Oreochromis niloticus: one gene and its partners. The protein of the gene in region 4 purifies or fractionates together with the protein of the main gene of each other region. This does not show direct contact. Links are inferred from orthologs where the notes say so. Each region holds a gene or a part of one and is shown on either strand. Other genes may lie near its edges.

The links.
Region 1: the proteins of sf3a3 (region 4) and snrnp70 fractionate together in Homo sapiens (co-fractionation; 3 studies listed by BioGRID). This does not show direct contact. The link is inferred for Oreochromis niloticus from reciprocal best matches to the Homo sapiens genes SF3A3 and SNRNP70.
Region 2: the proteins of sf3a3 (region 4) and rbm17 purify together in Homo sapiens (affinity purification with mass spectrometry; 4 studies listed by BioGRID and IntAct, counting the BioPlex papers as one, with this or other methods). This does not show direct contact. The link is inferred for Oreochromis niloticus from reciprocal best matches to the Homo sapiens genes SF3A3 and RBM17.
Region 3: the proteins of sf3a3 (region 4) and snrpa1 purify together in Homo sapiens (affinity purification with mass spectrometry; 6 studies listed by BioGRID and IntAct, counting the BioPlex papers as one, with this or other methods). This does not show direct contact. The link is inferred for Oreochromis niloticus from reciprocal best matches to the Homo sapiens genes SF3A3 and SNRPA1.

Annotation. Positions count from the first base shown.
Region 1 is NC_031969.2:2,185,004-2,192,887, forward strand, and holds the start of snrnp70 (U1 small nuclear ribonucleoprotein 70 kDa), read left to right. Parts: upstream 1-4,881; 5' UTR 4,882-5,092; intron 5,093-5,422; 5' UTR 5,423-5,429; coding exon 5,430-5,576; intron 5,577-5,664; coding exon 5,665-5,727; intron 5,728-6,658; coding exon 6,659-6,713; intron 6,714-6,801; coding exon 6,802-6,866; intron 6,867-6,974; coding exon 6,975-7,037; intron 7,038-7,884. Other genes in the region: scaf1 (splicing factor, arginine/serine-rich 19), read left to right, coding at 400-705, 781-909, 1,818-1,976. UniProt on the Homo sapiens protein: Component of the spliceosomal U1 snRNP, which is essential for recognition of the pre-mRNA 5' splice-site and the subsequent assembly of the spliceosome. SNRNP70 binds to the loop I region of U1-snRNA.
Region 2 is NC_031981.2:35,258,896-35,266,388, forward strand, and holds the start of rbm17 (splicing factor 45), read right to left. Parts: upstream 3,017-7,493; 5' UTR 2,888-3,016; exon of another isoform or gene 2,631-2,887; intron 2,485-2,630; 5' UTR 2,460-2,484; coding exon 2,337-2,459; intron 1,488-2,336; coding exon 1,371-1,487; intron 1-1,370. Other genes in the region: il15ra (interleukin-15 receptor subunit alpha), read left to right, coding at 3,176-3,245, 3,811-4,008, 6,505-6,561, 6,639-6,686. UniProt on the Homo sapiens protein: Splice factor that binds to the single-stranded 3'AG at the exon/intron border and promotes its utilization in the second catalytic step. Involved in the regulation of alternative splicing and the utilization of cryptic splice sites.
Region 3 is NW_020327524.1:105,994-113,807, reverse strand, and holds the start of snrpa1 (U2 small nuclear ribonucleoprotein A'), read right to left. Parts: upstream 3,016-7,814; 5' UTR 2,904-3,015; coding exon 2,822-2,903; intron 700-2,821; coding exon 552-699; intron 1-551. UniProt on the Homo sapiens protein: Involved in pre-mRNA splicing as component of the spliceosome. Associated with sn-RNP U2, where it contributes to the binding of stem loop IV of U2 snRNA.
Region 4 is NC_031985.2:38,727,453-38,734,884, forward strand, and holds the start of sf3a3 (splicing factor 3A subunit 3), read right to left. Parts: upstream 3,014-7,432; 5' UTR 2,521-3,013; coding exon 2,425-2,520; intron 2,315-2,424; coding exon 2,267-2,314; intron 1,856-2,266; coding exon 1,803-1,855; intron 1-1,802. UniProt on the Homo sapiens protein: Component of the 17S U2 SnRNP complex of the spliceosome, a large ribonucleoprotein complex that removes introns from transcribed pre-mRNAs.

The DNA of each region.
Region 1 (7,884 bases), on a different chromosome or scaffold from region 4:
CACACACACAGACACACACACACACACACAGACACGCACACACAGACACGCACACACATACAGACAGACACACACACAGACACGCACACACATACAGACAGACGCACACACAGACAGACACACACACACACAGACGGGGACACACACACACAGACGGGGACACACACACACAGACGGGGACACACACACACAGACGGGGACACAGACAGACACACACACACACACACACAGACAGACACACACACACAGACACACACACACACACAGACACACACACACAGTGCTAGAGGGGGACCTTGCTGTGTATATGGGAGCTGCAGGCTCCTCTGTGTGTTGAAATGATGATCCTGTTATTGTTTGAATGACCGTGAATTCGTTTATCTCCTTTCTCACATGCAGATGCTCTCACAGGCCAATCAGAACCAGTCCCAGCTCACTCCTTCGGCGTCCTCTTCCTCTTCATCCTTACAGATTCCTCCCCCTCCCTCTCTCCCCCCACCTCCTGGACTGAGCCCAGCCCAGTTCATTCTGCACGGCTCCCTCCCATTGGTTAGCTGCACTAAAACTCCACCTTCACACCTGCACCCTTCAATAGGTGGTGGATGCGCTCAGACTCCACCCTCCATCGTACCTGTGGGGATGACGGGTGTGTCTGGGAGTTCTAGTGACACTGGATGGGACAATGAGAGCAAAGACCCGGATAAGGTAAACTGGAACTGTGTTGTTTGTTTGTTTTTGTGGGTTCCTTTATTTAACATGATGCTTACCTGAACTGCACAGTACCTGAAGAAGCTGCACACACAGGAGCGGGCAGTAGAGGAGGTCAAGCTGGCGATCAAGCCTTACTATCAACGCAAAGACATCAACAAGGAAGAATACAAAGACATCCTCAGGAAAGCAGTGCATAAGGTGAGCCTTCACACACAAATCCAACCACATACTGTTTTATATATCACATGGCTCATGTTGACTTTGCACTTTGCAGCTTAAAGTTTACAGTGTGGCTAAAACATGCAGTATTTCTACAATAAAACTATGATGTTTCCACTGAGATCCTGGTACCATGCCTTTGGGTAATGCATTAACAAATAAATGCAATAATATACATTCAGTGAATTGGTCTTTATCAGTAAAATAATATGAAATAAGAATAATAAAGACAAATATATGGATATTGACATTATTAGCATAGTTTATTTGCATTAGTCTCAGATTAGCTTGGATTCATTGACACTGGCACTAGTCTCTTCTTCTTCTGATTTCCCTATAAGCGCACACCTGAACACATCTGCACACACCTGAGCACATCCTCGCACATCTGCACACAGCCTCACACATCGTTACACATCTGCACACAGCCTCAGTGGCCAGAGAAGGTGAGGTGAAATGATAATGTTGCTGACATCAGGTTTTTTAATCACAAGAGCAGTAAAAGCATCCTGGCAACTCTTACAGAGAACGTAAGAACAAAGAATCACCATCTGTACATTTCATTCATGCAGACTCACATGAAACACAGTCACACTCTGCAAACATACAAAGGAACGCTGTTGGTGCCATGGGCGTGAACTACTTTGTAACTGCTGACCCTTTGCTGTTAGCTTTCTCTTTGCTATGCTAGCTATCAGCTGCCAAACAGTGCCCTGCTGCTGTGTAGTGCACCTGAGTGGATTGTCCTGCTCTTTCATTGGAGCTTTTATGATGGGATTGGACCAGCATCTGGTCAAAATGTCTGAACTGTGCGTCCATAAATGAAGTTATGTTCTTCTGTTCTGAATTGTTACTGACTGTTTAATCACACTGTGTCTTTATCTTAGATCTGCCACAGCCGCACTGGAGAAATCAACCCAGTCAAAGTCAGCAACCTTGTGAAGCTGTATGTTCAGCGCTACAGATACTTCCGTAAACACGGGCGCAAAATGGACGAGGAAGAAAGGGATGACAGGGAGCCAGGAGCACTGCATCCCTCTGCCTAATACAAGACTTTTGGGTGGGGGTGGGGGTGTTCCACCTTTGCCACAATCTGCTCAGTACGTGAGCAGTTCACTGATTGTCATTGCCTAATTTTATTGTTTCCATACCTTCCCTTGTCTATACTTTCATGTAGAAGTATGTATCCTCATCGCTGTAATCATGTTGTAAATATTCCTTTCCAGATGTATCATGAACACAAGGTTCAGTAAGTAGATCCTGTCTAGACACTCGTGTGAGCTAGTACAGTCCCGTATTGAACCCTGCAATAAATCCTACCTTTGTCAAGGGTCTAGTGCTTAGTTGTTGTTGGTTGGATTTGTTAGAAGTGTCTCAATGGTGGGACTAATTACAGGACCTTTTTTAATAGTATTGAATTAAATGTTTATGATGATGATCTACCCCACCTCTCCTTTATATCAACATCCAAACTGAGAGGAGATGTAATACCCAGCTGCACACCAAAAGGAGTTAAACAATACTAAACAGAAGAACTGCGTGTCCCCCGTGTCCCTGTGTCTTTACAGGCAGCACGTAGGCTGTTGGTCACTGCTGATTTCTCACTTCTTTTATTGTGTATTCTGTGCATGTTACTGAGAATGACAGTTATACTCAGCCTCTTTATAAAATGACCAACACACTATAAATGTTACTTAACACTGGTAAACATTGTATTATTTATTTTGTCTGCTTTCTGTCAGTTGTTTCTGTTCATAGAGAGACTGTTCAGGATTTTCTCGACGCGTCTACCACAGCTGTAGCTGCTGCTGTCACAGGCTAGACCAGTTTAACCACCCTGAGACTGGGTAGGGTCCTAAGGCTGCAGCCCCTGAACTTGGACACAGCCTGTAGACTAAACTATAATAATATAACAGACTGTATATAAATACAAACTCTGGCCAGCTGTGTCGATCAGTTATCTATTTTGGCCCCAGCTGTTCCTAATAAACACTACATGATGGTCCCAGGTGACCTTCGTTACATAAATGTACATACAACCCACTAACACATCACTTTCCAAATTGAATTCATGTCCAGAGATGAGACACAGGCAGACTAGGCTAACAGGTTTGATGTTACAACACTAGTCAAATATTACTGTGTAATATTTGTCCAAAACACATTTCTTTGTTATGGAATAAAATGAATTCTAAAGTCACAACCAGTAGGAGTGGCAATTTCTAGAACTTCATCTGTATAATTGGACATTTCTTACCAGCGTAAACTAAAAATAAATACACAAAACCATTTCATTTAGTTTACTGGTTTATTTGCAAGACACAAGAACGTGAAACCCTGAAAGTTACAAATGTAACGTGCATGAAATGGGAGGTAAACGCGCCAGACCTGATGAAGTCAAGCTGCCTGTAGGCTGGGGCGCTTGGCCACAAGGGGGCAGTAGTTGGCTGGAAACTGGTTTTATGGTATTTTATTGGTCAAGAGCAACAAGAATGACGAACTGTTTCATAACAGGTGTCGAACTCCAGGCCTCGAGGGCCGGTGTCCTGCAGGTTTTAGATGTGTCGTTGATCCAGCACAGCTGATTAAATGGCTAAATGACCTCCTCAACATGTCCCGAAGTTCTCCAGAGGCCTGGTAATGAACTCATCATGTGATTCAGGTGTGTTGACCCAGGGTGAGATCTACAACCTGCAGGACACCGGCTCTCGAGGCCTGGAGTTCCCCACCCCTGGTTTTAAATGTAGCCACACAAACGGAATATCCGGTGTTTATTTCCTGGTTTGGCGGAAGCGTTTATCACACATCTGTTTGACCGTCTCCAGCTCATCTGGAAGGCACGTGCCGTGCCAGGCTAGGTGTCCGCGACAGAACGGGAGCGCGCACGGGGCAGGGAGCGCGGATCCACATGACTCCGCCTCCACTGCAACAACTAAAGTGGAAGTAGTGAGTTTTACTGAAACAGTGAAACACGAGTGTCGTGGGTTACAGCAGGATACCTACCATACATCCTGTTTACTGCACGTGACTGTGACCATTGGTCCACTACCAGCCATTTCATTTGGTACAAATCCACTCTTCCACGTTTGCGTGGGTTTCCTTCTGAGCACACGCAGCTCCCTGCACCACCTGTTCACGCCGTGTTTACGTCCCTCCTACGTTACTACGATCAAGTACGAGTCCACTAACTTTATTCTCAAAATGATCAACAATGTGTTTTCCTTCTGTGGCCCTAATAAAATAATAAAGTTATTATTTTATTAATGTACAATACAAATGAATTATTGCCAGTTTGCCTTGAAACAACTGTAATCTGTATATTTTGACTTGATTTTTAAAGTAGCTCTAATATTCCGTCGTAGCTTCGTATCTTCATAAGAACCAAAACAATCCAGTTATTTTGGACTTTTTCTGGAACAACAATCGCTTTGGCGCATACACTATAAAGAATGTGAAGAGTCAGAGGGTGTGCGTCTTTCTTTTCATAAATTAATGCCGACTCAAAGCTTCTTTTTTTATTCGCAAAATCAACATACAAACAAAATGCACCATATTATACATTCAGAAAATATAAACTTCTTACCAATTAGCAACCTTTGTACAAAGAAAAAAAAGATATAAAGACGGGGTCATAAAAGTTAACAGAGTATTAACTCACTAAATCAAAATCTTCTAAAAAGGAAACAAAAAAAGCAGCCTTTTTTTTTAAAGTCAAAGATTTAACCAACAGGTTTAAGTCGTTTTTCCAGTGAAGTAGGGTTGGTTTGGTCTTAAAAAACGACATTTATGTATATATTGCTTACACGAGATTAATAAAACACCATAATTGGTTTTCGCTTCCTTCAGAAACACTCCAAACAATATCATAATGTCGACTCAACGCTTAATTCTCAATCAACTTGGCATTTCCTGAACGATTCGGGTTTACGACAATTGTCGTTATTTTGCGGCATCCCGCCATTTTATTTGCGAACTCGACACAGTTAGCTATTTGTCGCCGCTGCACGCTGTGGGTACCTTGAAGATCAGATTCTTATTACTAATAGATCCAAATATATTATCTGCTTCAGTCGAAGTAAGTTTGTCACAAAGGAACTACCTGATCTCGCGCTTCTTCTTCTGATACATGATCTGAAATTTGCTAAACACTGGAGGAGAGAAGGTAAGACTCCGCGGATCCTGCATGTTAGCATTGTGTGCTTCGTGCTAATTCGAAAGGCTCAATTAAACGCTAAACATGTCGATAGAACTTAAAGTAAAACCTGTCAGCGCATACATTTCAGATATCGATGCCGTGTTGTTTGTAAGTTAAGGAAGATGTTGGGTGAAAATGAAACGCGTGCTAGCCATATGGTTGTAGGAGTGTCGTCGTAATCAGGACAACAGTTAGCATGTTACGAGAACTTCCGCTCTTGAGGCTGGCGCGTGCTTCAATGCCCGGATTGACCAGCATATAAGTGTCAATGAAGTGATCCCCTTGTTGTTGCAATAGGTGAAAAATGACGCAGTTCCTACCACCCAACCTCCTGGCCCTCTTTGCTCCACGGGACCCAATACCTTTCTTACCTCAGCTGGTAAAGTTACCCCACGAAAAGCACCACAATCAGCCCTACAGTGGGATCGCCCCGTTCATCAGACATTTCGAGGTGAATATTAAATCTTCTGTGCGCTTTGGTTAGCCCTTCTTCTTCCGTCCCACATTAGTCCTGTTAAATATCTCCTTTCTCTGACCAGGACCCGAGAGATGCACCGCCTCCAACAAGAGCAGAGACCCGTGAAGAGCGGCTGGAGAGAAAAGTGAGTATTCACAGCACTTCACCTGTTCCATTTGTCCACATTCGTTCTCTCTCCTACACACAACAGCCCATAATGACACAGCAAAGAACGTTTGACTGAAAGCTTTGCAGACTTGGTAAAAGTAAGACTGACACTGTGTAAGAAAGCAGTTCAGATTGTCTTGATGCATGCTCAATCATCCAGGAAAGTAAATCTCCAAAAGTTGATTCTGTTCATCTGGACGTAGCGTTTTGTGGGAGAAACATTTCGTCACTCATCCAAGTGACTTCTTCAGTCTCAGCTGACTGCAGGTTTCCCCGATCTTATAAACAGTACATTTGCAGAATGACTGAAACCAGCCCACTGAAGGAACAATGGGCTGTGAGGTCAGTTCCTTAATCTTAATTATGCAAATTCTCATGACCATTGATCAACAGATACTGACCAAAACCCACTGATCAATGGCCATGAGTACCATTCATCTTACAATGCTGTGATTGCAGCCATTCCCCAACTCTCTGTACCCTCCTTCACCTCGATACAATCCAGTCTCTGAGGACAACTCTTTGAACTTCACGGCTTGGGTGTGTTCTCTGACGTGGACTGTCAGCTGTGGGACCTTTATACAGGAAGTGTGTGTCTCTTTCCAAATAATGTCCAGTTCGCCTTATTTACCACAGCTGGGACTCCAGTCAGGCTGTAGACATAACATCTGACAGATGATCAGTGGAAACGGGATGCATCTTTTAACTTTCTGGGGTGTTTTGTGAAGAATTTTGAGGTGGAAATGAATTTAATCCAAGGCTGAAAGAAAGACCGTGGAACAGATGAAGCTCTGTGAAGTCTGTATGTGTCAGGTTTTCTGAGAATCTCATGATAACGTGAGGAAAAGACAACGATCATTAAGAAAGCTGAGCACTAACCATTTCCTGTGAATCTTTTGTTTTTGTAGAGACGAGAGAAGATTGAGAGGAGGCAAGCAGTAGTAGAGACAGAGCTGAAGCTTTGTAAGTTTCTGACACGGCACACGCTCTGCAAACTCTGCGTGATGTGGTGATTTGGCCTAATCTTGGTTTTCTGTTTGCATGCTATCAGGGGACCCTCATAATGACCCCAACGCACAGGGCGATGCCTTCAAGACTCTGTTTGTGGCACGAGTGGTTAGTATATTCAAATAGCTGCCTATCCAAGTGTGTTGGGTTTGGGGTTTTTGGGCGGGGGTGTTACCTCTATGGACTGTGTGAACTTTAAATATCTTCTTTCTACAGAATTATGACACCACCGAGTCCAAGCTTCGCCGAGAATTTGAAGTGTACGGCCCCATCAAACGGGTACGTTAACACGGTCCTGTCTGAGTAATGTTGTGCTTAATGTCATATTTATTCATTTAGTACTTTTTTTCAGTTGTCGCGTACAGTATACAACTGACGTCGGCACACTTTTCTGCGTTGTTCTTTAATTATCAAATGTAGCAGTGCAGAGATGGTAAATGGAACAGAGGGTATTTGAGCCACGCTTACAGCCATCCAGATTCAGCTACGCCTGTTCTGCATCGAGTCTAACAGTATTAGTGTTTTGAGTCATGCAACAATCCCCGGATTGTAAAGAATATCAAGGAAAACAGTTAGCCTTTAAAACTGTTGCAGATAACTTTCTACAGGAAGAGAAATTTAATGTTACCTCGATTATTGGAATACTTTCCAGCTGCTGTAATAATTGTATTGACTGTCGGGCTCCACCAAAAAGTACTAGACACGTGTCCAGTTGAAGTCAGATGTCTTTCTAAAGGTGCTCTGACATGAAATTTTCCCCAGATGTCACTAACAGCTCATCTATTCAAATCATGGCTGTCCATAAATGATGTGCACGAATGAGAAATGACACAGAGAGAAAGTGTTGAAGGCCAAGTCACAACACCGGCTGAAATCTGTCAGTAAGGAGAAAACATTCCTGCTTCACTCAGATTAACATCAGCTCATTCAATCCCAACCTGCAGAAAGCTGTATCGTTACCGAGGTGTCACACAAGTAAGGTCTTATTATGAGGAGAACCAGTGAGCTCTCTCATGACTTTGGCAAACTGGTGGCACTGGTTACAGAAACATCTCTAAACTCTGCAGCAGTGTTGGGCCGTAGTGGAGGAGTGGAAGGAACATCATTTCACCATAAACTGGTCACA
Region 2 (7,493 bases), on a different chromosome or scaffold from region 4:
TTTTTCTGCATAATGCATCATACAAAATGTAATCAAATGGAAACGTCTCTTTTTAAAACTTTAAACTTTAAATCTTTTAACTTTATGCATCAAGCAAAAATTTAATTATATGCAACATTCTCTGACTGGAAGAAATTTGTTTAACATTTAAACCTATTTTCTGCACATTCCAGCACATAAAATAAAATATTTTTTTGTGTTTACACTCACTCTTTCAAATAGATGCAAGTAAAACACAGCAGAAAATAAATGAAATCAAAGACTAGCGGTTGTGTTGCTCTATTTTCACCTGTAAAGCAGGAGTGGGTTAGGCGGAGGTTTACCCTGGTGCAGGTGTGCCGCAGCGGTCAATGGAAGAATCCGCGAGTTTCTCTGTGAATTTCACATTACGTCGTAGCGCACTCGGTGCTTGCTTGGAAGTTTATGGGGGGGTTTTCGCTGTAAAAAGAAGTTTTCTTCCCACGCACAACGGACACTAATGTTTTTGTCACTTTTTATGGAATCAAACTCAAAATAAGGTCAGTACTTCCACGCTTTAAACGCTGCATGCTCATACTCTCTCCCGCACTCGATATATTATCCATTGTTGATCTGCACACAGCTGTTGTCACGAACGTCGCACTCGCTTACGTCACTGTCATGAGACATTCTCGCAAAAAAATCACGGTTTTAGTAACGCAGTAACGCAGCGTTCCTACGTGAAAGTAATGGTAATCTAATTACCGTTTTTGCAATAGTAATCCCTTACATTACTCGTTACTTGAAAAAGTAATCAGATTACAGTAACGCGTTACTGCCCATCTCTGCTCCTCACTGAACCGTGAAAACAGCCTTGTAAATCTGTTTCTTCCTGTCTCATGTAGAAACTGAGAATAAGCTTGACTTTAGTATCTGACCAGTGTCCACTAAAGAAGCAGTGGCTGCTGCTTATCAGCCAAATGAGCAGATTTATTTTAAAAACAACATTCAGTCTTGACTTTATTTGGAAAGTTTTATTTTTAGTTCAGCAAATCTCATCATATCCGAGGAAGCACTGACTAAAAGAATCCTTGTAAAGCTTTCCAAAGGTTGCTGGTGTTACTCTGCTAATATGCAACTACCTACCCGTCTTGAAGCGAGCCTTTGCTTTTTAACATTCAGCCTGACAGCCATGATCAGAGAGAATGTGAACACACAGCAACGTCAGACACAATCACCACCAGTTTTGTCATTATAGAAGACTGGGTCTAACAGATATTTAAGAATCAAGTAATGCTGCATAAACAGCATAATTTGTCCAGCTGCTTTTCAATATTTCCATACTGACCAACCCAGTAACAGTTTAACACCAGTCTTGGGTACCCATCCATAACCAACACTGTGAGCCGTACCTTGAGACCAGCTGCAACATGTGGAGGAGCGTCTGTGATCTGTCGCTCATCACTGGAACTTCCTCTCTTAAGATCAATGACAGGCGCCAAGACAGTGGTCTGCTTCATCCGCTGGGTCTACAAAAAAACAAAACCAAAAAAAAAAAAAAAAGCATAAACAAAACAACCAGTAACCTTGTTCTTCTTCTAATCAGTGACTGTAGAAATACATCAAACAGAAAATCAGCATAGCAAAAAGACACAACATCACTTCTTACTCTGAACTCATTAGGATGTGCTCAGTTTCAGCTGAACTGATATGGGGTTTTTTTTTGTTGCCTTAAAGTCTGACTTTCTCATGCTCTGCTTTAGAAGCCAATCATGGTCCAGCATGCAGTTTTTAATAGTGTGATGCGCACATAGGTGGAAGATTCTTTTAAATAACGTTTAAGAGGTGAGCGATTGCTGTGAGGAAGATGCAAATCAAACATTCTTTTTGTTCAATACTGGCATGACATCCAGTTGCAGCGGATATGTTGGCTGCACATCCCACACCCCAAACGTGCTCTTCAGTCATGTAAAGCTGCAGAAGTTTTATTAAAATGTGCAGAACCATTAACATAGTCTGGTACTGTGTTTAAATCATACAGCTTAATGAAGGCTGACAGCAACCGTTCAGTTTTACATAGAAGAGATACCTGAGGCAAACACCGGTGAGCCTCGACTGGGGTGTACTAGACCAGATTTCATTCAAGACTTTCATAACATTTTTCAGACCAAATGTAAATTAATATAAAATATTTTGTTAATTAAATTGCATTATTATTTAAAAATATAAAAATAAGAGCCCTTTTCACACGCTAATACAAATGTACACACAAATGTAAGCACAAGTATCATCATTTCTGACCATCTAATAAACAAAAGTGCACGTTAAGCTTGATTGAATGACAGCCCACTATAATACATGTGTAGTACTGCACGCACCTTGGCCTGTGTCAGAGCCGCCTTCTTCACCTTTAGCTGGGACTGTAGTAGCTTGAAGTTCTTGGACCAGCCTTCGGTCTTAGTGTCACTGGCACCCACACCAAGGTCATCATAGAGCGACATTGCTGCCCGTCAGTGGTCCTGTTGCCTTCGGACACACAAACACGTTTCACTTCTCAATATTTATCGAGCCTTGCTACGTCATCATTATTTAGTCCTTCACTGCTTGGAAAAAGCAAAAAATTTAAAAACGGTTATAACGTGCAACAGCTAAATCACAAATCTCCGTATAACCTTTTGTGATTCGGTCGTTTGTCGCTGATCCTGAAGTAAATTTCCCAGGAGAAACTGTGAAACGTTAGCTAGCAAACGAAGGCTGAGGCTAATGTTGCTAATGTCTGCTCCTTATGCAATGTGTTAAGAAAAACCCAACATTTGTTCCACTGTCTCTTTGGCTACCAGTGTTATATAGAATTTGAAATTAATCACAAATCAGTTCATATTTCTCTCCTTTTTTCTTTAAAGAGGGCTAACCAGCATATTTGATATACCTCCTTACTGCTCGTAACGGAAGCCTGAGCGCAAAAACAAGAGCTAACATTTGCCAGCATTTTACGATCTTGCGCCATCTGGCGCCCGGATGACCAGCGCAACCAGCGATTTCTGCAGAAATATGCCCTATTATTAAAAATGGGCGGATCACACACGAGCACAAGGGGAGTGGCATGATATAAAGCGAAAGTGTGAACGCAAAGAAATACCGTGGCGACAGCGACGATGGTCTTTAACGGCCAGGTTTTATTTAGTGAACATGTTTTAAGTCACTACCGAGGTGTCCGATGGCTTTGGTTTCACTGGCTTTCTCCGTCTGCGTTATGATAGTTTGTTGGCCTCAATTATCCAGCAGCGGTAAGTGCAAACAAATTTCAACTCGAGCGTACATGCGAGTACGTCCAGAAAGTGCTTTAAATGCGCATGTCGCGATTTGTTTTCTTTATGTTTTAATCAAATTTTAATCAGTGATAAAATTTGATCACCTTCAAAAACAAGTCGTTCAAATAGAAGGCATAAACTCGCACACTTGAGCATTTTACACCAGTGAGATATGTCGGAGGGGGATAATTGCTGATTGAAAACATACCTGCGGCTTGATTTGTGTTTTGTTTGTTTTTTGGTAAATCATTGTTTCTCACCGTCTCGGAGTCAGTTCCGTGTCGTAAATCTTCATAGTGAAACCTAAATGCTGAAAGTCGCAAGTGTATCGTTATGAATCCTGCTAAATTTTGGGCTTAGAATCGGGGTTAACCTGATGTGTATGTGATGGTGTCGAAGTTTTTATTAACGCCTCCTTTAATTCTAACTTATAGCCATGTACTATGGAACTTACGTACACCATTCACCAAAAATATACTGGTTATTTATTTTAAATCGTATGATTTTTATTTTAAAAAGTTATCATTATTAATTTTTACAGATAACAGCTGTCCATGTCCAGAAATCCCAAAGTTGAATTTAACAAATCTCCCACAACAAGGCTGCTTCAAAATAGGTGACATTTTTCGCTACAAATGTAAGGATGGCTACCTGAGACAAGTGGGAACCTCAAATTTAATCAGATGCAATGATCGGGGAGCTGTTCCACAGTGGAGCGAACCATGGCTGGTGTGTATACGTAAGTATTATTTGCTGGTACATTTCTTAACACCATATCAAAGTGAAAAAATCTCTCTATCCACCCATATGTAGACCAGTACATTGTTATGAGGTCCCAAACACAGCTGAATGGTTCAAAGAGGCTTCACTTCTCTTGAAGTTCCAAGCTGAGGTTATTTGGAAACAGCGGTACTGTGGCTTGTTGCTTTTCTTTTTCCTTTTAGTGTAAAAAGTTCCACTTGGTGCCCACTTGGTCAACTTTCAAGTATTCACATTAGATTTGGCCTTAAAAAATAAATAAATTTTTAAAAAATTCAGTATCAATGAACCCGTATTTGTTATAACCCGAGATTCTTAGATTACAGCTAATAGTAGCTACTGACAGTCTGAATTTTGAGTGTTCAGAAGTAGTAGTACTGGTATTATCATAACATGAATCCATTATCATTATCCATTACCGCTTTGAAAACTGGGAGCTGTTACGTTCAGTCATTACCCCAGGGGATGACTGAATCGCTAGGTAACCCTGAAAGTCCGCTCTGGATGAATGGGTGGAGACGGTTTATAGAAGGCCAGCCCCTACATGCATGCCCTAGAGGAACTTAAAATATTAATGCAGAGTGTAGGCTGGTGCCTGGTATCTGCTCAAAGTGTCACGGGAATTTTATAATCTGCATGGCGGCACAACTGAAGGATGTCTCATGATTATCGGTGGATTATTTAGTCTTTGTCAGTCTCTGGCTGAACAAGTCACACTGGGCCACTGTTTACTGATAAAACATCAACAGTACTGACAGCCCCGTGTGTCGAGATGGTTCGGCTCAAACCAGCTGACTAAACCGTCCCACGCTCTCTAGTACACTGGCACATCCTCCCTTCCGATTTATCATCAACTGCAGAGTCATACTAGAACTGTTGACGGCAGGTGTCTGGCTGGAAGTCTGAAATGTACAAGAGATAAGAGAATGCAATGGTTCCTTTTGGGTGCAGTGCAAAGCCACCCACATGTGGTTTGTTTTTGTGTTGTCACAGCTGACACCGGTGAGCAGTTTCCTTTTTAGACTGCCTAGCTTGGTGAAAAGGTGACATTATCTACTGTAAAAGGAAATGAGGGAATATTTTCTCTAGGGGAGTGGTTTCAGAGTGAAAATCTCATGCATGCACCTGTTTGTACACACTACAAACATTTATTCACCCGCTAGGAAACAGATTTTCATTCCAGCATGCATAGCAATATGAAATGTAATCTATAGACTCAAAACATTGTATGGAAGGAGCACTTTTAAGGTTTCATGAAAGAGGGAAATGTGAAGGGGAGAACAGAGGAAGGACATTTAGTAACTTAGGAGATCCAGAGGATTAGTAAGGAGGAAGTGAGTGCAGTGGACTTTTTGAGACGCTGTGTAACACAATTAGATAATGCCCGAGGAATGAAGAAGTGCACTGGTGCTGATATTTATTTTTACAAGAACGGCAGTGATGTGCAGAGTTATAGTGGGGATAAAATGTCACTTTCCCTGGGTCTTGTACCCAGACTTAAGTGTTATGGGTTTGATTTCTTTTGGGGGGTTTTTTTTGTTCATTTTGTTTTCTTTGTTTATCATGCAGATGGAGATGAGTATCTAATGCTTTTTCAGTCTCTATTTTTGCTTTTAGTTCTTCTGTTGCTCCAGTTTTGTCTCATGGTCATCTTTCTGCAAGTTCGTATGGTTAAGTCTGTTATTTCCTGTTTTACTCTGGTGGTCTGTCTCTTGTGCTTTGTATTTGTTTTGACTTTCCTAGTTGCCGCCTTGCTGATTGTACTCAATCTTAGCCACATTAGCTGTCCAACTTTCCTGTTGTCATCCCACAAGGCTGTGTACTCCTGTTTCCTAAGATTTGTTTCACCAGATACCCCAGAAGTTGTACTGTCTTTAATCTAGTGAAAGCATAAGGTTGGTACTTCATGAGGAAATCAGAAGTGGCACAGGAAAAATGTGTGGGTGATGCAGGAAGCGTATGAGGACAGCAACAAATGAGGTCAATGTGGAGGTGGGATTACATCAGGGACCAGCTCTTAGCTGCTTCTTGTTTGCTATGATAATGACTGGTGAGGTCAGACATGAGTCTGTGTGGACTATGATGTTCATAGATGACATTACGATCTTTAGTGGAAGCAGGGAGGAGGTTTAGGAGAGCCTGGAAAAGTGAAGGAAGGAAAGTCGGTAGAACCAAGACATAGTGTGTGTGTGGTGATAGACAGGTGATGTGTAGAGAAGTACATCATGAGAATGCAGTGAAATGAAGAACTGAATTAATGCAAAGTAAAAGGGATGTGACTGTCTAACTATAGAACACCCTGGACATGTTGTATAGTTGGATCTTAGTCAAATCAATGATACGTTCAGCCAGAATGCGGTGATAATAGATTTATAATCTATAATAGGTCTCTGATCCATACAGTACATTTTTGAGCTTTCCCACTTTCAGTTTAAAAAAAAAAAAAAAAAAAATGCATTTCTTTGTCCTGTTTCAGGTGACCCAAGGATAACCACAACACAACCACCAAAAGCAACGAGGGCAACAACAACGGGTAAGCACCTGTCTAAGGAAAATGGTGTTAGCCATACTTTGCTGACATGTGTGCTTAATGATGGTTTGGTTTTGCAGAGAGTCGCACTGATATTTCCCATTACTCCATCAGTACTTCCGCTATCAGTAAGTTCTCTATTTGCATGATTGTGATGATCAAAAGCCGTGACCTATAACCAATACTAATAAACTAAAAGGAAACTAAATGTCTCAAGAGTGTGGCACTAGGACTAATATTAGTCTGTGTGTATATATTACACTCATCTTACTTTTATCACCCATTTTACAACTTCTTATGGAACCAAAACAAACCCCAGTACCTGCAGCCATCAGGCTTTTTAATTCTCATACAAATGGCAGATGAACTAAGTCAGACACATGAATTTCCCTTTAGTTTAAGTTATTATTCTTATTGATATATTGCAGTGTTGGCGGTTGGAATGTTAAAACTAGTAGATGTAACACGGGCTATGTAGGTGTACAGTGAGCACGTTCCTAAAAGTCTAAATTTGAACTGGGTAATTTGGGTGAAATGACTCTCCATGTAGTCCAGGAGAGGCGTTGCAGTGCAACTACTATTAAAGGAAATGGTTTACTGTAGTGAAACCTCAAGTCCTACAACAACACAAAAAGATTAGATATGTAGCAAATCTGCTTTGAATGATATCAACAAATTTTGTTTTTATTGCTTTATTTATGATTTTTAGCATCATGGAAATGAAGAGCATCGGTCCATGTCAAATGAAAATGTATCCAGTAACAGAAACTTCTAATAGTGTTCTCATGGTTAGTTGCTTTAATCATTATAGTTCAACACCGCTCAGCTAAGCAACCAGACAATCTTGATATCATAATCACCACTTCAAGAACTAACTTTTTAAAATTATGGGACATGGTTTGGACCCTTACTAACAGTAAGGTAAAAACGTCCCA
Region 3 (7,814 bases), on a different chromosome or scaffold from region 4:
CGGCCAGTGACGTCAGACTGAACAACCGGATTGCGGTAGAGCGGTAGTCAAAATCTCTACCGTTGGCCAAATTTATATCGTTTCTACCATATACCGTTTTATACCGCCCACCCCTACTTCAGCTGATGAGGCAATGAGTCCAAATCCTTAGACCCATTGTCCATAGCTTTTCATACAACCACTGTTTTCTATCCAAGCGCAAAGATTCACACTCCAATAGACGCAACAGACACCATGGCCGAGTGCTATCCCAGGTATCTGGTTATGGTGTTCCATTTATGCCCTTGGATTACACAAGGAGCTTTGTTGTTTCGCCCTGGATAGTGGTTCTGACACTCAGTCTTCAGCCATCTTTCGGCAAGCATATGTTTGCAGAGTGCTGGATTTGAGATGTAATCCTTCATGCATGGTATGGAGTTTTGTCTTTATGTCAATATCTCCTCCTTTGAGCACCTTATAATACAACCAGGGTATCGGGTGAAGACAACAGTGGTTGCAGTGTTATTTTTTTCAATAACACACGTACACAGACACACACACCTCTAACTTACCAAATCCTGTTGTTGTTCATTAGCAAGGTTTTCAGTCTTTTAAGCAAAGGGAAGCCATCCAATTTTCTGACTTCATTATCAGAGAAATCTATAGTGTCAAACTGATCCAGAGTAGCTCCAAGATTTTCAAGCACTGGGATTTTATAACCTGGGCGAAAACAAAAAAATAAAATAATTAAAATACAGATAGCATCTTCCCTTTCTTTGCTACTATCTGACTACACATCTCTGTTCCAAATGACATTCTGATATCATTGTTGTAGATCAGTGAATTGATATCACTCTCACTCCTGGCACAGGAGTGAGAGTGATATCAATTCATCACAATTCACAGCTCGATGCTCTACCAGTAGCCGATCTTTTCCCCCCGTGGTGTTTCTGTCAGTTCCCTTCAGGGCCCTACTCGTGTTTTGAGCCTGCTCATCTTGCCTGCTATGATGCATGACAGGAGTTTCCATGCTAAGGCACAGTATTGGCCTATAACTGGCCAATAACCTTCTCCAAAGGGTGCATTAGCTCTCTCTCAGCATAGTATGAGTTCAGTCATTTGGGAGGGGCTCGAAGTAGAGCTGCTACTTCTGCACATCAAAAGGAGCCATTGAGCCTGTTGCCTCCTGGGTAAGGTGTTCTGGCTGGGCATGTCCTACTGGGAGGAGGCCCCAGGGTAGATCCAGGACATGGTGGCTTTCTTGGCTGGCCTGGAAATGCCTCAGTGTTTTCCCTGGATAAGCTAGAGGGAGCGATTTGCAAGAGAGAGGTCTGGGTTTAACTGCTTAGGCCCCGCGACCTGATTTCAGATACGCAGAAGAAAATAGCTGGATGAATTATTTTATTTTAGATTTTAACTTTTATTAAAATGGTTTCCATGAATTGTAGAATAATGGCCATTACTCACAATGCACAACACAAGGCACCACACTTCTCAGTCGCAATTTATTCGTTTTTTGGGTGTTAATTTGTCACATTTTAATAATACAGGAACATCTCTTGAAGTAACATGTTTTGTTTGTAATGTTATAATTGTGACATTGAACTGAGGGTAACTTGTTTTTCTAAAACAAACTAGACAAAATGTCAATGCCCTGTAATTGACAAATAACTATTTGATTTTATTAGATCAGGTTCATGGTTAAGGTGAAATTAAAGAGCTACTTTAACTGCTACTGCGCAGCAGGAATACTGCTGTTAAAAAGCATATGTAAAAAAATAAATAAAACAAGAAAAATATCCTGAAAGTATCTGACTGCTCATATAGCAATAGTACTAAAATACAATACACAACTTTTTAACTCATTATGGAATTATGCATATAATGCGATTAATAGCAGATTAAAAGTCATCCAGTTAAAATAATAATAATAATAATAATAATAATGGATTGCATTTATATAGCGCTTTTCGGGATCCCTCAAAGCGCTTTACAATACCACTATTCATTCACTCTCACATTCATACACCGGTGAAGGCAAGCTACAGTTGTAGCCACAGCTGCCCTGGGGCAGATTGACAGGAACCTTATCACGGCTCCTCACTAACACACACATAATGTGTGCAGATAACTATGTCAGCTCTGACAACAATCATCTACAATCATTTTGTATATCCAATTATTTTACCGTGGGTTTTCTCTTTCTATGAATGCAAACATTTGCTTGCCCTTAAGTGCTATCAGAATGCAGCTTGGTGATGATGTAACCTGAATTAACAGATTATTCAAATATAATCAAGAATGTTTTTAATAATGTATGTTTTTGTTTGTTATGATGGGATTTGTAGCCCATACTAGCTGACCACAATTACATTTTTTGGTGAGAAAACGCACAAATTTTATCTTCAGAGATATTTATGTTCAAACATATTCTCAGATTTCAATTCACCTAAAATACCCTGAAACCAAATTTATATTAAGTCTTCATAGTCTTCATATATGAAGACAAAATTTAATCGCAATTATTACAAACGTTTTAAAACATACAATTTTCAGGCAAATCTGAGTTGGCTGAGCAGAAAATGTTATGGGTTTTTATTTTCTCTAAGATTTCAGATGGAATGACTCAATTTACCCTTTTAATATACAGTACATTATGATGAAATCCGCCTTGTTGTGTCTAGACATAAGCCAGCATTATTTCTGCAGCAGTTCGTATGAAACTGAACACTATCCAGTTAAGTTTTTGAATGAGGCTCACGTTAAGGCCCGCGTAAAATGTGCGTAAGCTAATGAGCACAGGCCTTTCTATGTATGCTGTATTAAGGACAATTTAACTCACCTCTTAAATCCAACTCTCTGTCTCTCACGGGATTTGTATATTGAGCAGCCTGCTCAATAAGTTCCGCGGACAACTTCACCATCTCAACGAACAAAAAGGAACCTTATCACGTCTCCTAAATTCACAGCAAAGCGAGTGTACACCGCTACACCAAGCAGCCCGGAACAAAAGGTTTACATCTTTCCTATCACGTGGCGACAACGTTTGCTTTATTTTTTATAGCGCCTCCCGCGGAGGGAGGGTGGTGTTGCATGCACATTTCGTTTTTTGATCCTTCCACTTTGCTTAGGAATGGTCCTAACTGAGGGACGTGACCCGGTAGATTTTGCCTGTCGGGCATAATAGGATCTGTTTGTTCGTTTGTTTTAAGCACTTTACTAACAGTGACGGGTAGATGACGCCTCGTGGAGTGTGTGGCACAAGTGTGTCGACACTTGCCGTTTGACAATAAGATAAGATAAGATAAGATAAGATAACCTTTATTAGTCCCACACGTGGGAAATTTGTTTTGTCACAGCAGGAAGTGGACAGTGCAAAAGTTATGAAGCAAAAATTAGAATAAAATAAAATAAGAATAAATACAGTACACAACTGTACAGAATAGAATAAAATAAAATACTATATACAGTAGAATAAAATAGAATAAAATATACAATAAGATAAAAATAGAATACAAATGCTATATACAACTGAGTAAAAATACAACGATGCCAGAAAAGATTATTGCACATTAGTGTTATTGCACATGTGTGGATGTGTGTGTTTGATCAGTTAAAGTCTTTGTTGTGGAGTCTGACAGCAGTGGGGAGGAAAGACCTGCGAAATCTCTCCGTCCCACACCGTGGGTGCCGCAGTCTCCCACTGAAGGAGCTGCTCAGTGCTGTCACAGTCTCCTGCATGGGGTGGGAGATGTTGTCCAACAGGGATGACAGCTTAGCCGCCATTCTCCTGTCACTCACCACCTCCACTGGGTCCAGAGGGCATCCTAGAACAGAGCTGGCTCTTCGGATCAGCCTGTTCAGTCTCTTCCTGTCCCCAGCAGAGATGCTGCCACCCCAGCAGACCGCACCATAAAAGATGGCTGAGGCCACCACAGAGTCATAGAAGGTCTTCAGGAGTGGGCCCTCTACTCCAAACGACCTGAGTCTCCGCAGCAGATACAGTCTGCTCTGCCCTTTCCTGTAGAGGGCGTCTGAGTTATGAGTCCAGTCCAGTTTGCTGTTCAGATGAACACCAAGGTACCTGTAGCTGTCCACAGCCTCAATGTCCATACCTTGGATGTTCAGTGGTTGCAGTGGAGGATGTTTGTGCCTGCGGAAGTCTACCACCAGCTCCTTGGTTTTACTGGCATTGATCTGGAGGTAGTTCAGCTGGCACCAGTCCACAAAGTCCTGAGTCAGTCCTCTGTACTCCTTGTCGTCCCCATCAGTGATGAGGCCGACTATTGCAGAGTCATCAGAGAACTTCTGCAGTAGGCACTGGGTGGAGTTGTGGGAGAAGTCTGCAGTGTAGATGGTGAAGAGGAACGGAGCCAGAACCGTTCCCTGTGGGGCCCCCGTACTGCAGACGACCCTGTCCGACACACAGCCCTGAGTCCTCACATACTGTGGTCGGTCGGTGAGGTAGTCCAAAATCCAGGTAGTGAGGTGATGGTCCACTCCAGAGTTCTCCAGCTTGTCCTTCAGAACCGAGGGAAGAATAGTGTTGAAGGCACTGGAGAAATCAAAGAACATGATTCTCACAGTGCTCCCAGTGGTCTCCAGGTGAGCGAGGGAACGATGTAGGAGGTGAATGATGGCATCATCCGCTCCAATGCCAGGTTGGTAGGCAAACTGAAGTGGGTCCAGTGATGAGCTCACAAGGCGCTGAAGCTGAGCCAGGACCAACCGCTCCAGGGTCTTCATCAGGTGGGATGTCAGAGCCACCGGCCTGTAGCTGTTGAGGTCCTTGGGGCGTGAAGTCTTTGGCACTGGAACAACACAGGAGGTTTTCCAGAGCTGTGGGACTCTTCCCAGCCTCAGGCTCAGGTTGAAGAGGTGCTCCATCACCCCACACAGTTGGTCAGCGCAGGACCTGACGACCCTCGAGCTGATGCCATCTGGACCCGCTGCCTTCTTGGCTTTAATCCTCCTCAGTTCCCTCCTAACCTGGGTGGTTGAGAGAGACAGGCTGGAGCCTTGTGTTGAGTGTGTATTGGATGCTGTTGTTGGGGGTTGGGAGGAGTGAGCAGGGTGAATAGAGGAGGTGTGAAGTGTCTGAGGTGGAACAGCAGCAGTGGGGGTGGGTGAGTCTGCAGCCGATGTTGGAGACTGCCTCATGGCTGAATCAAATCTGTTGAAGAAATGAATGAATGAAATGATTCAGTTCATTTGCCCACCTCACATCCCTCCCAGGCAGAGAGTTGTGATGTTTGTGGCCTGAGATGGTTCTGAGGCCTCTCCAGACTTCACCAACGTTGTTTTGCTGAAGCTGGTTCTCCATCTTTTGCCTGTAGCTATCCTTCCCATTCCTTATCAGTCCCCTCAACTCTCTCTGCACCCTTTTAAACTCCTCTTTGTCTTTGGATTTGAAGGCCCTCCTCTTCTGCTTGAGGACAGCTTTAATTTCTGGAGTAATCCAAGGTTTGTTGTTGGAGAAACACCGTACAGTCCTGGTAGGTACGGTGTTGTCCACACAGAAATTAATATAGTCAGTAATGCATGTAGTAAGGCTGTCGATGTCCTCTCCGTGGTCGTCACAGATCACCTCCCACACAGTGGACTCAAAACAATCCTTAAGAGCCTCCTCGCTCTCCTCCGACCATCTCTGCACTGTGCGGGTGGCTGGTGGCTCCCTGCGCACTAAGGGCTCATACACAGGGACAAGGTGCACCAGGTTATGATCAGATCTGACCAGGGGAGGGAGAGGTGATGAACTGTATGCCTGTTCTGCATTGGCATACAGTAAGTCCAGTGTTTTATTGTCTCTGGTTGGGCAGGTCACATACTGGGTGAAGGTGGGCAGTGTGGAGTCCAGTGAGGCATGATTGAAGTCCCCTGATATTATGAGAAGGGCTCTCGGAGATTGTGTTTGCAGTCTGCTGACCACTGAGTGGAGAGTGTCACAGGCTGCATCCGTGTTGGCCGAGGGGGGGACATACGCTGTTATCGCGATAACATGCGAGAATTCCCGGGGCAGGTAGTACGGACGCATGCTAATGGCTAACAGCTCAATGTCTCTGCTGCAGAGTTGTTCTTTTACAGTGATGTGCCCAGGGTTACACCATCTGTCATTCACAAACACTGCCAGTCCCCCTCCTTTCCTCTTACCGCTGTCTCTCGTCCAATACTTGATTACGCAAGTCCGTACTTGCGTTCTGTGTTCAGTGTTTTTACTGCCCCTCGTAATTTTACTGTGATTAATATGTGCATTTTCTTCAATTAACATTTGTATTTTTCAGCACAAATGATTGGCTAGAAAAAGATCATCAATGTGAAACAATTGGGAAAGGTTGCAGAAAAGACTTCCTGCCTTTAGTATTCATGGCCATTGTAAACATCCAGAGATTTATATGATCTGTCTAATTAGCTAAATACAGTTAAACACTCATAGTAAAACACTAAAACACAATAAATACATTACACATGTGTACACAGCTCATGCTACTTAATGAATTTTTAAAAAAACGGGTCTGATGTTAGGATTCTTTTATTTTTATTTTAGTAGACGCCCAAAATGTACAGCTGGTATTTGCAAGAGAATTTAACAAATAGTGAAAACACGTCATTTGGTCATTTCTGGAGCAGTGACATAACGTTTCTAAAACATTTCTGTCAGCTCAAAAAACATGAGCAAACACACAAACTGTTCCTGTTAGTGCTGTGCGATACTACAAATTTTGGTATCGATCCAGTACAAAATAAATTAAGGAAAGTATTGCCAATACCAATACTTTCCTTAATTTAGTGATACTGATAGTTTTAACCTATAAAGGGAGCTTGTGTAACTCAGAGGGCCCGGGCCCTGGTCAGAGGGCCCGGTGGTGCCAGTGTTCAGCAGCCTCGCCTCTGTCAGTGCGCCCCAGGGTGGCTGTGGCTACAATGTAGCTTGCCATCACCAGTGTGTGAATGTGTGTGTGAATGGGTGGATGACTGGGTGTGTAAAGCGCTTTGGGGTCCTTAGGGACTTGTAAAGCGCTATACAAATACAGGCCATTTACCATTTTACCATTTGTGCTATATACTATTTTGAGCTATATTTTTTCATTAAAAAATATTTTTAAAAATACACTAAAAATGTATTTAACACAGTTCAGTGGGATTCATACTGAAAACTGAGGATAGAAAAAAGATTCAATCCAATTGCATTAGTATCAGTCTGATACTGATACCAGTGTTGGTATCGATACTGTCGATATTTGGATCAATCTGCCCACCTCTAGTTCCTGTGTAATTTGTTGCACAGTGTGTTGCTGGATAAAGGTCCAGCTGCTGTATTTCCAGGGAGAGAAAAGAATGAGAGCTAACTTCTGTCAGAGATGGAGAATGATTACGTACTTTGAGAAGCTACACTTCAAGGACTATACTATTTCACTTTTGAGTAAAGATGTTAAATCAGTACTTTTACTGGAGCATTTTTTAACAAAAATATCTGTTCTTCAGCTTAAGTGGAAGAACAGATAAGTGGAGAATGTCTGTACTTTTACTACCTCTGACCCGGAGTCAGGCGTTCTTGTCACTGAGCTTTGAGCTCTCAGTCAAATTGGTGACGGTGTGGTAGACTTGCTTTTCAGGAGCCACTACAGACTAACCAGGAAATAAACACTGTATATTTCATCATTGACATTTTGTGACATAATTTAAACACAGTTCGCCATTCTTATTACTCTTGACCAATTTGACTAGTGCTGTGGCATCACATTTTTTAGCATAGTCTGTCTTTGTCTTTTCTTGTTTTTTTTTTCTTGGTTCTATCTTTCTTAATTATGTGTGCCTATGCCAAGAGGCACACATAT
Region 4 (7,432 bases):
AATATCTCCAGAATATTTCTTTGGACCCGTCTTTTCCAACAGTGTCCTCATCTTGTGAGCCCTGGGCATGTCCTTTCAGGTGTCTTCAGTAATGCTACAGCTCACATTTGTCTTCACAATTTGGTGTCATTTGGTCTTCTATCCTGCTCACATGCCTAACATACTGCTATGCCCAGCTGCAGTAGCCGGCTCCTCTGTGCTGCTTACTGCAACCTGTCTAGAAGAGGCACACAATTGGTTTGGTGTAGCGCTATTCTCATTGACGATGGGTCTCCTGTGTGTGACAGAGGGGCATTTTGTGATATTACTATTATTTCCTCATCATTTAAACTCCTGCACCAACAAAACTTGAGAAATATGGGATAAATAAAGTATTTCTTATTGTCATCTAGCTGTCGTGTTTCTGAGTGATTTGCTACTAGATTGGTGAATAAACCCGTGTGTGTGTGAATCCCAAGTTAGAGAACAACAACAATGCCACAGTAGAGCAGGCAATAGTCTAGCAGATTAGGGCTGTGCGATATGACCAAAATCTCATATCCCGATATTAAGACATCTATCGTCCCGATAACGATATAAATCACTAAAATTTAACATTTTCTGTAAATTCTGTCAATCTCTGGCAGCTCGACTTCCGGGAAGTGTTTCCAGCTTGGGGTTGTGTACTTGGAGTCGAGTGTTTTAACCGATGCATGAAACTATACATTTTTAGACATAGGTTGTAACGGCCGCCGTTTTCTTTGTGAGTATTTATCACACGGCGTGCTGCGGGGAAAAGCCTGTTCTAACGTTTGAGTCTAAGGTTTATTTTTTAGCACCTGGTGACTCTCATCCATAAACACTCTGCATACTCTTTCATGTAATTCAGTTTATTTTGAAAAGTCTCAACAGGATCTTGAGCTTTATTGTGAAAGGTTTATGTGGAAAATAAACAAGCGGACACGAGGTGGTTTCACCGTCGTTGTTGCTAACGACAACGGATAAAAACAGTTGCTTGTCTGTCTGTAGTGTGGTTATATTAAATATAAGAGAAAGAGAGAACTTTAAGAAATTAATATAGCCACTACAGTGACCATCAAAATAATGAAAAAATATTGCCGTAAACAGCTTATTTTGCGACACCACGAAACAAACGATAGCGTAAAATGAAACGATAGATGTTTTTATATCGTCATCCGATATATATCGTTATATTGAACAGCCCTATAGCATAGCGGTCCCCAACCTTGCGCCACAGACCGGTTTATGCCCGACAATATTTTCACGGACCGGCAATAAGGTGTCGCGGATAAATACAACAAAATAAAACTAGTGCCGGTACCGAAAAAAAGAAGCTTTATTCATAACACACGTGAAAAGACCCAGGAAAACCGAGTTAACGATAAAAACGATAACAAAATAACGCTGAAAACCGATAAAAACCCTGAAAACCATACATTTCACACCTGAGCCTCGACTCTCGCGGCCCGGTACCAAACGACTCACGGACCGGTACCGGTCCGAGGCCCGGGGTTGGGACTGCTGCTATAGCAGATTCACATCATTTCCAGAAGTGGTGAGATTGGAGCTGACGTTAACCATCTCCCGTCATGTGCTACATGTAAGAAAGGGCAACTTAGAAATACGTCCCCATCCTGACTGTCACAAGATTTTTCAGGCTTCTCATGTGAATACACCATTAGTTGGTCTACTTTTCAAATAACCGCTCAAAAGTTTGTTCCTCCACTCCTGTAACCGCACAAAGGTCCAGCCAACATATCTATATTTGAGTGGAAATAACTGTTCGCTAAGAAAACACTCACCCATCTTTGTCTTCATACAGGTCTCTGAGATTTGCGCTCACTTCCATATACCTCTGCAAGAAGAAGCACAGATACCTTTTTACCAGTGTTGACCATTAACAGTGAAAAGTTGCTAATTATCAAAAGTGATTCTTTGTCTCCAATGTGCGTCTCTGAAGTCAGGTTTTAACCATTTATATTTTACACCTAGTTTTAATGACCTCTGATGCACTTGGGGCAGATTTTTGGAGTGTCATTTCGTTGTGACACCGCTTCATTCAGTACATCTGATTACATTCTTTATCTGACCTCTTTTCTGTGATTAATGTATGAAAATGCATCAAATCTGCTAATAAATTGTTCTTTGCACGTTTACAAAATTGTAACTGGGGTTTTATGAAAGGTTAGTTATTCGTTGAATTTCCAGCAAATACTATTAGCCAGTTGGTGAGAGCAGTTTTAAATGAGTCCAAACTCTTACTTACATCCAACATCGCTCTTGTTCGATGGTCAGAATTTATTTGTTCACGCAGCTGAAACGAGAGTTGGAAAAAAACACACAGAAAAATGTTAATTTCAGGGTTTCTGGGATTCACGACCAAGCGTAACAATGCTAAAGCTAGCCTTAAGTGGCACCACTCACCGTCGACTTCTTGTGTAACATTTCTTTAGTTTTAGCATCCATTAGCCTCTCTTTCTCTTCGTGATAGCGACGCTGTTGTTCTAATATAGTTTCCATTGTCCGCAAAAATGTCGAACGTTTGCTAAAGACGAATTAAGGTTTCTAATGGGGTAGAATACAAATGAAGGAAAGCGGCAATACCCGCCGTATCTTGTACGTTTGTTTTCAATGGCGCATGTCGACGAGCTAACGGCCCGCACTGTATTAGCCGTAAGAGAAACATGAACCCGTGGAAGGGTTCCGCCGTGGTAATGTCTGTGTACAATACTTCTATATTTTTTTATCTGAAGCCTTTCGACAGTTAATAATAACACTGGTTCCAGTTTATTTTTAGACAATTACCGTGAAATCCTTTGACACAAATTGTTGAAAGTAATGGTTTCGTTTATATTTTGACCTTTTTAGCTAGATGAGTTGATGGGCATAACAGCAATTCCTTTCAAGAGGATCCCTGGTCTTTACATTACTGAAATGTAAAAACTGCTTCTGAAAAGTACACTTTTTCAACGTGATGGGTTGGCACCACACCGTGCACGGTCTGTGCCGCGTGCTCGGTATTCTCTTTGCACTTCCTTTGTAGTCTACACTATCATCAAAGCCTGACATAACACACAGCGCACCCTGGCGTAGGCGCGCGCACGAAGGCAGTCTGGAGCCGTCAAGCGTCGGATTGGTAAAAGAGAAATAGACCGGAAGTGTGAACTCTGTGTCTTAACATAAAATGCGTCCATTCATCCTCTTCTTCTCATCTTCTTCGGAGGGCTTTTTTTTTTTTAAATCAGTTGCTTGATTCAGTTAAAAAAATCTGAACTAGTTTGCATTATAGACTGACATTTTTGTTTATTCCTTGTTATTTTTTTCGGCAATTTTCACTGGTATCAAAATAAAATCCAAATTAAAAATTAATGGTTAGAAATAACATGTTACACAGTAGGATCAGGGAAGATAAAGCAAATAGGCTAACGAGTGCAAAACTATTCTATGAGTATTGACATTGGGTGAATGGACATTACAAGCCTCAGGTCTACTCGTGCACAAGTGAAAAATTACTTCTGAGATTTAACAGATCGCCAGTGTAATTTTTTAACCTCATTTGAGTTAAAGTGTATTGCAGCATATGAATCTTATTTTTTATAGGCAGTCTTCGGGGAAAATAAGCCACAGGCTTTTATTTTGACAGATTAAACCGGAAACTGTGCTCGTAACGGTCGCTACCGTGACAGTCGCGGTTTCACCACATTCTCAAGCAGTCAGTCAAAGCAGCGGACAGTAAAAAGAAGCGGACGAGCAGCGTTGCGGATTTACAGAATAAACAGTGGAGCTTATAACACATACGTCCAGCCAGCTTATAAAGGTGAGCTGCTCATATTCTTCGCTAATGGAGTCAACTCTATGAAGACAACGAAGATTTATTGGGTTATTTTGTGGGGAAGGGGGCGGGGTGGTCGTGGTGGTGGCGGGGGCATCCATTCTGTCTTTTGTGCTGGAGCAGATTTGGCAGCGGTCACTGAGGTCCGCTGCTGGAGAGGAGAGATGTCGAACAAGTGTGTCCTTCAGCTTTATCTTCTTCGGCGGGTATAAAGATTGCGAGGCTGTCTTGCTGTTAACTCTTCACACATAGCCAACAAAACAGGCGATCCGGGCCGCGGGAGCTCGCTGGCCCCTCATATACAGCTTTATTAGCTGTTTGATGTTGACTAAAGAGGGTTCCCCCGAACTTGGTCTAACATCTGAGCAGATTTAAACCCGTTTCTCATTAAACAAGTGTATGTTTACCATACGAGACCTTTAGAGTCATAGGCAGATGCACATCAATTCGGCATATACCCATGCACCTAACTGAACTTAATAAAATGAAAACTATAATAATCATTGGGCCAGTCGTCACTCAACCATTAACACCGAAATAGCCTTGCTAGAAATCCGAGCCAAAAGTGGGAATTCCCTCTCTACAGAGCCGGGTACAGAAAAGGTTCAGGGGTGTTAGCCGGACAGAAAACCCAAACTCTGAACTGTTTTATTGAGCCTTTAGCCTCAGACAAAAGAACAGATTGAATCCACGGGACTGTGAGTGCCCTGCTGGGTGGGATCTATGTGTAGACTCGCTCAGTAATCGGTGACCGGTTGAGCTGTTGTGACAGTTTGGCACCCGACGGTGAAAGAAAACATCTTCCGAATGTGTTTTGGCAAAAGCCCAAGACGAACCACTGGTATGTTTCCAACTTTTGGTTTCAGTATGTTTGTCTTCACCTGACAACTGGAAACACGCAGATGTCTACAGAGATGTTAGCAGCTTACCCTGAGATCTGAAATGATGTCCTTCTGTATCACTCTAACCAACCCCACCAAAAACTAAAATGTGGTATCAGCTCTCATTCACAGTTAACAGCACAGTCTTCATGCTGCAGCTGTTTGTCAGATGTCAAACGTGGAGTAAGCTCACCAAAGCCACTGTCATGTACACCCAACAATCTGTCCTTACTGACTGTGATTCTATATTCATGTGAGCAGCAAAAATGCCCTCACAGCCATTCGTCTGCGTCATGCATTTTTCATTGCACACCAGGGAATGTAAATAGAGGCATTCACCTTGAGCTCCTCTCTCACATACACAATAACGGGGACAATTGATTTAGCAAGGCTGACCTTGTAGGTGTCTTTTTCTGAGACTCGTAGGTTGTGACTGACAAACGTTAAGTCTGGCTGATTCGCAGAATGAGAGGGAACCACACCAGAGCTCGGTATGTAACTAATGACATCTGCAGGTGTATCTTTGGATGAGGACATAGGACAACCCTGCTTGTTTTTATTATCATTCAGCAGTCCAACGGGCAGCAGGGTTGTGTTGTCAGTAGGCTGTCTTCTCCTTTATTGGACATAGAAAGAAGCGTATCACGGCTGTTTTTAGAGTTCTGCGAAAGGACCTTTTTCTGTTCCAGCAGGACTGATGTGAGTTCAGTGCACAGACAAGGTAAATAAAGTTGGATGAACTTCAGTAGGGGGAATGTAAGGCAGTCTTCCTGCACAGAGGTTTGTTTTGGGTTTTTTTTTAAACAAACCTTTGACTATTTCTTCACACTCCTGTTCTTGGTGAACTCCATTGTCTTCCTTCCTTATTCTGGCCCACTTGTGAACCAGTAGGCATTTGACCAAAGCATATATCATCCTCGTTTGGATTTTGGAGGGCTACACAGGAGCGTGTTTGCAGTGGGTGAAAACCCCGTTCCGCCTGCTATCCAAATGAAAACGTGTGGGCAGACGGGCACATTTACAGGTCCCTAAATTATATTGAAGTGTGTAACAACAGCCCTATGACATGTATACAGTTCAGTGAGCAATAAGTTACCAGTTTGACAATGTCACGATCACACAAACATATTTTCCGTAATGTTGTTTAAGGTGATGTTTTTCCTTTTTCGATCTGCTACCCAGAAAATACGTCGTTGGCTCGGTGACCTCAGCTCCTTGTTGATGATTGCGAGGTGGAAAATCTTTGAGGCTTTGAGTTTTTGTAGTTGTGCTTAGCGGCTCAGCAATCTGATGAATTTCTATTGTCCACAGTTTAACTTTTCCTTACAGTATCTATTAAGTATCTCCCTTCATTCCATTGATGGATTCACTGCACAGTGCCTTATAGGGTGGCTGAAGCCACAAACCTAAACTACCAGTTAATTCTTTGATACTTCTCAAGTCTGAATGAAAACAGACTGTACAGATGGACTAATGCTGGATTAAGACACCTCAGATTGAAAAAAATCAGCTTAATTGGATCATCATTGGGTCCTTATGAGCTTCAGAAAAATGACTGGATATCAGACCGTGAGGCCTCCCCTCACATTTCCCAATGTTTCTGCATACTTGTGTGTGATGGCAGTGACTACATGGTAACATGATTTTGTGATTTTGTGACCAGTGGCTGGGAGCATGACCTGGACATTTTGAAACCTCCAAACTGTGAAAACATTGCTGTGTGAACAAAGATATAGCTTACGAGATGTGTGCTGTTTCATAAAATTTTACACTGCACTTGTACGGCAGAGTCGTGGACAGTAGTGGAGGCAACAGTCAGGATACGGGGGACAAGGACAGCCACAGATGTCCAGCTTACTGGGTTTTGCTCAGCAATATGCGAAAGATCAACGCTGAACTGGGACACAGAGCTAACCACTTCAGCTGCACAGAGGAAGATGTTTGACCACAGCACAAGTGAAGGCTCCCCCATGCCCGCCATGAGGACTAGTCCCAGAAACGGAAAGGCCCACGAGCAAAACTCGAGGACTTGCAGCCACTTCTTGGAACGTTGTTGCAGCGCCGCAAAGCTGTTGGTTTCTCAGGAATTCAAGCGTGACATCGTTGTACGATAAATCGACAAGACTCAGATCACCTGAAACTTCTTCAGCAGGACTGTGAGAAATGCACAGATGCTGTATGTGTGACTGATGCTACTGAGAGTTCGTCAGGAATAATTACAGCTTTATACATGCCACAAGTTTTGAAAGGCCAGCCTGACTGTTGTGAAACAGGTGTGTAACCCACAGCACAGATTTTCTAACACACCCTCCAAACAGGGTGTTGAGCATGAGATGGAAGCTGGAGAAGCCTACATTCAAAGCAGATCTCAGGCTGAACAGTGTGGTTTTGTGATTCATACTCCAGTTTCTGGGAATCCTGTATCTCCTGATGAACTTAGAACGTGTGACTGCTGTGTGAAAGCATCCATAGAAATCAGGTGTCCTTTAAAGTCCAGGACAGATTTCGTTCGATTTAGTATTTGCAAGTTTACTGTTTACCATTTTAAAATGTGTACTTTTCACTGACTCTGTAAAAAACCAGTCAAATGAAGCTTGACTGTTGGGATAGTGCCTTCAGCACATGAATCAACAACAAGTGCTTACTTTTCCAAAAAGGACTAAAAAGATGTGTGCACATAAAACGGTGTCAGGAAAGGCAGCTGAAAGAGTTTTACATG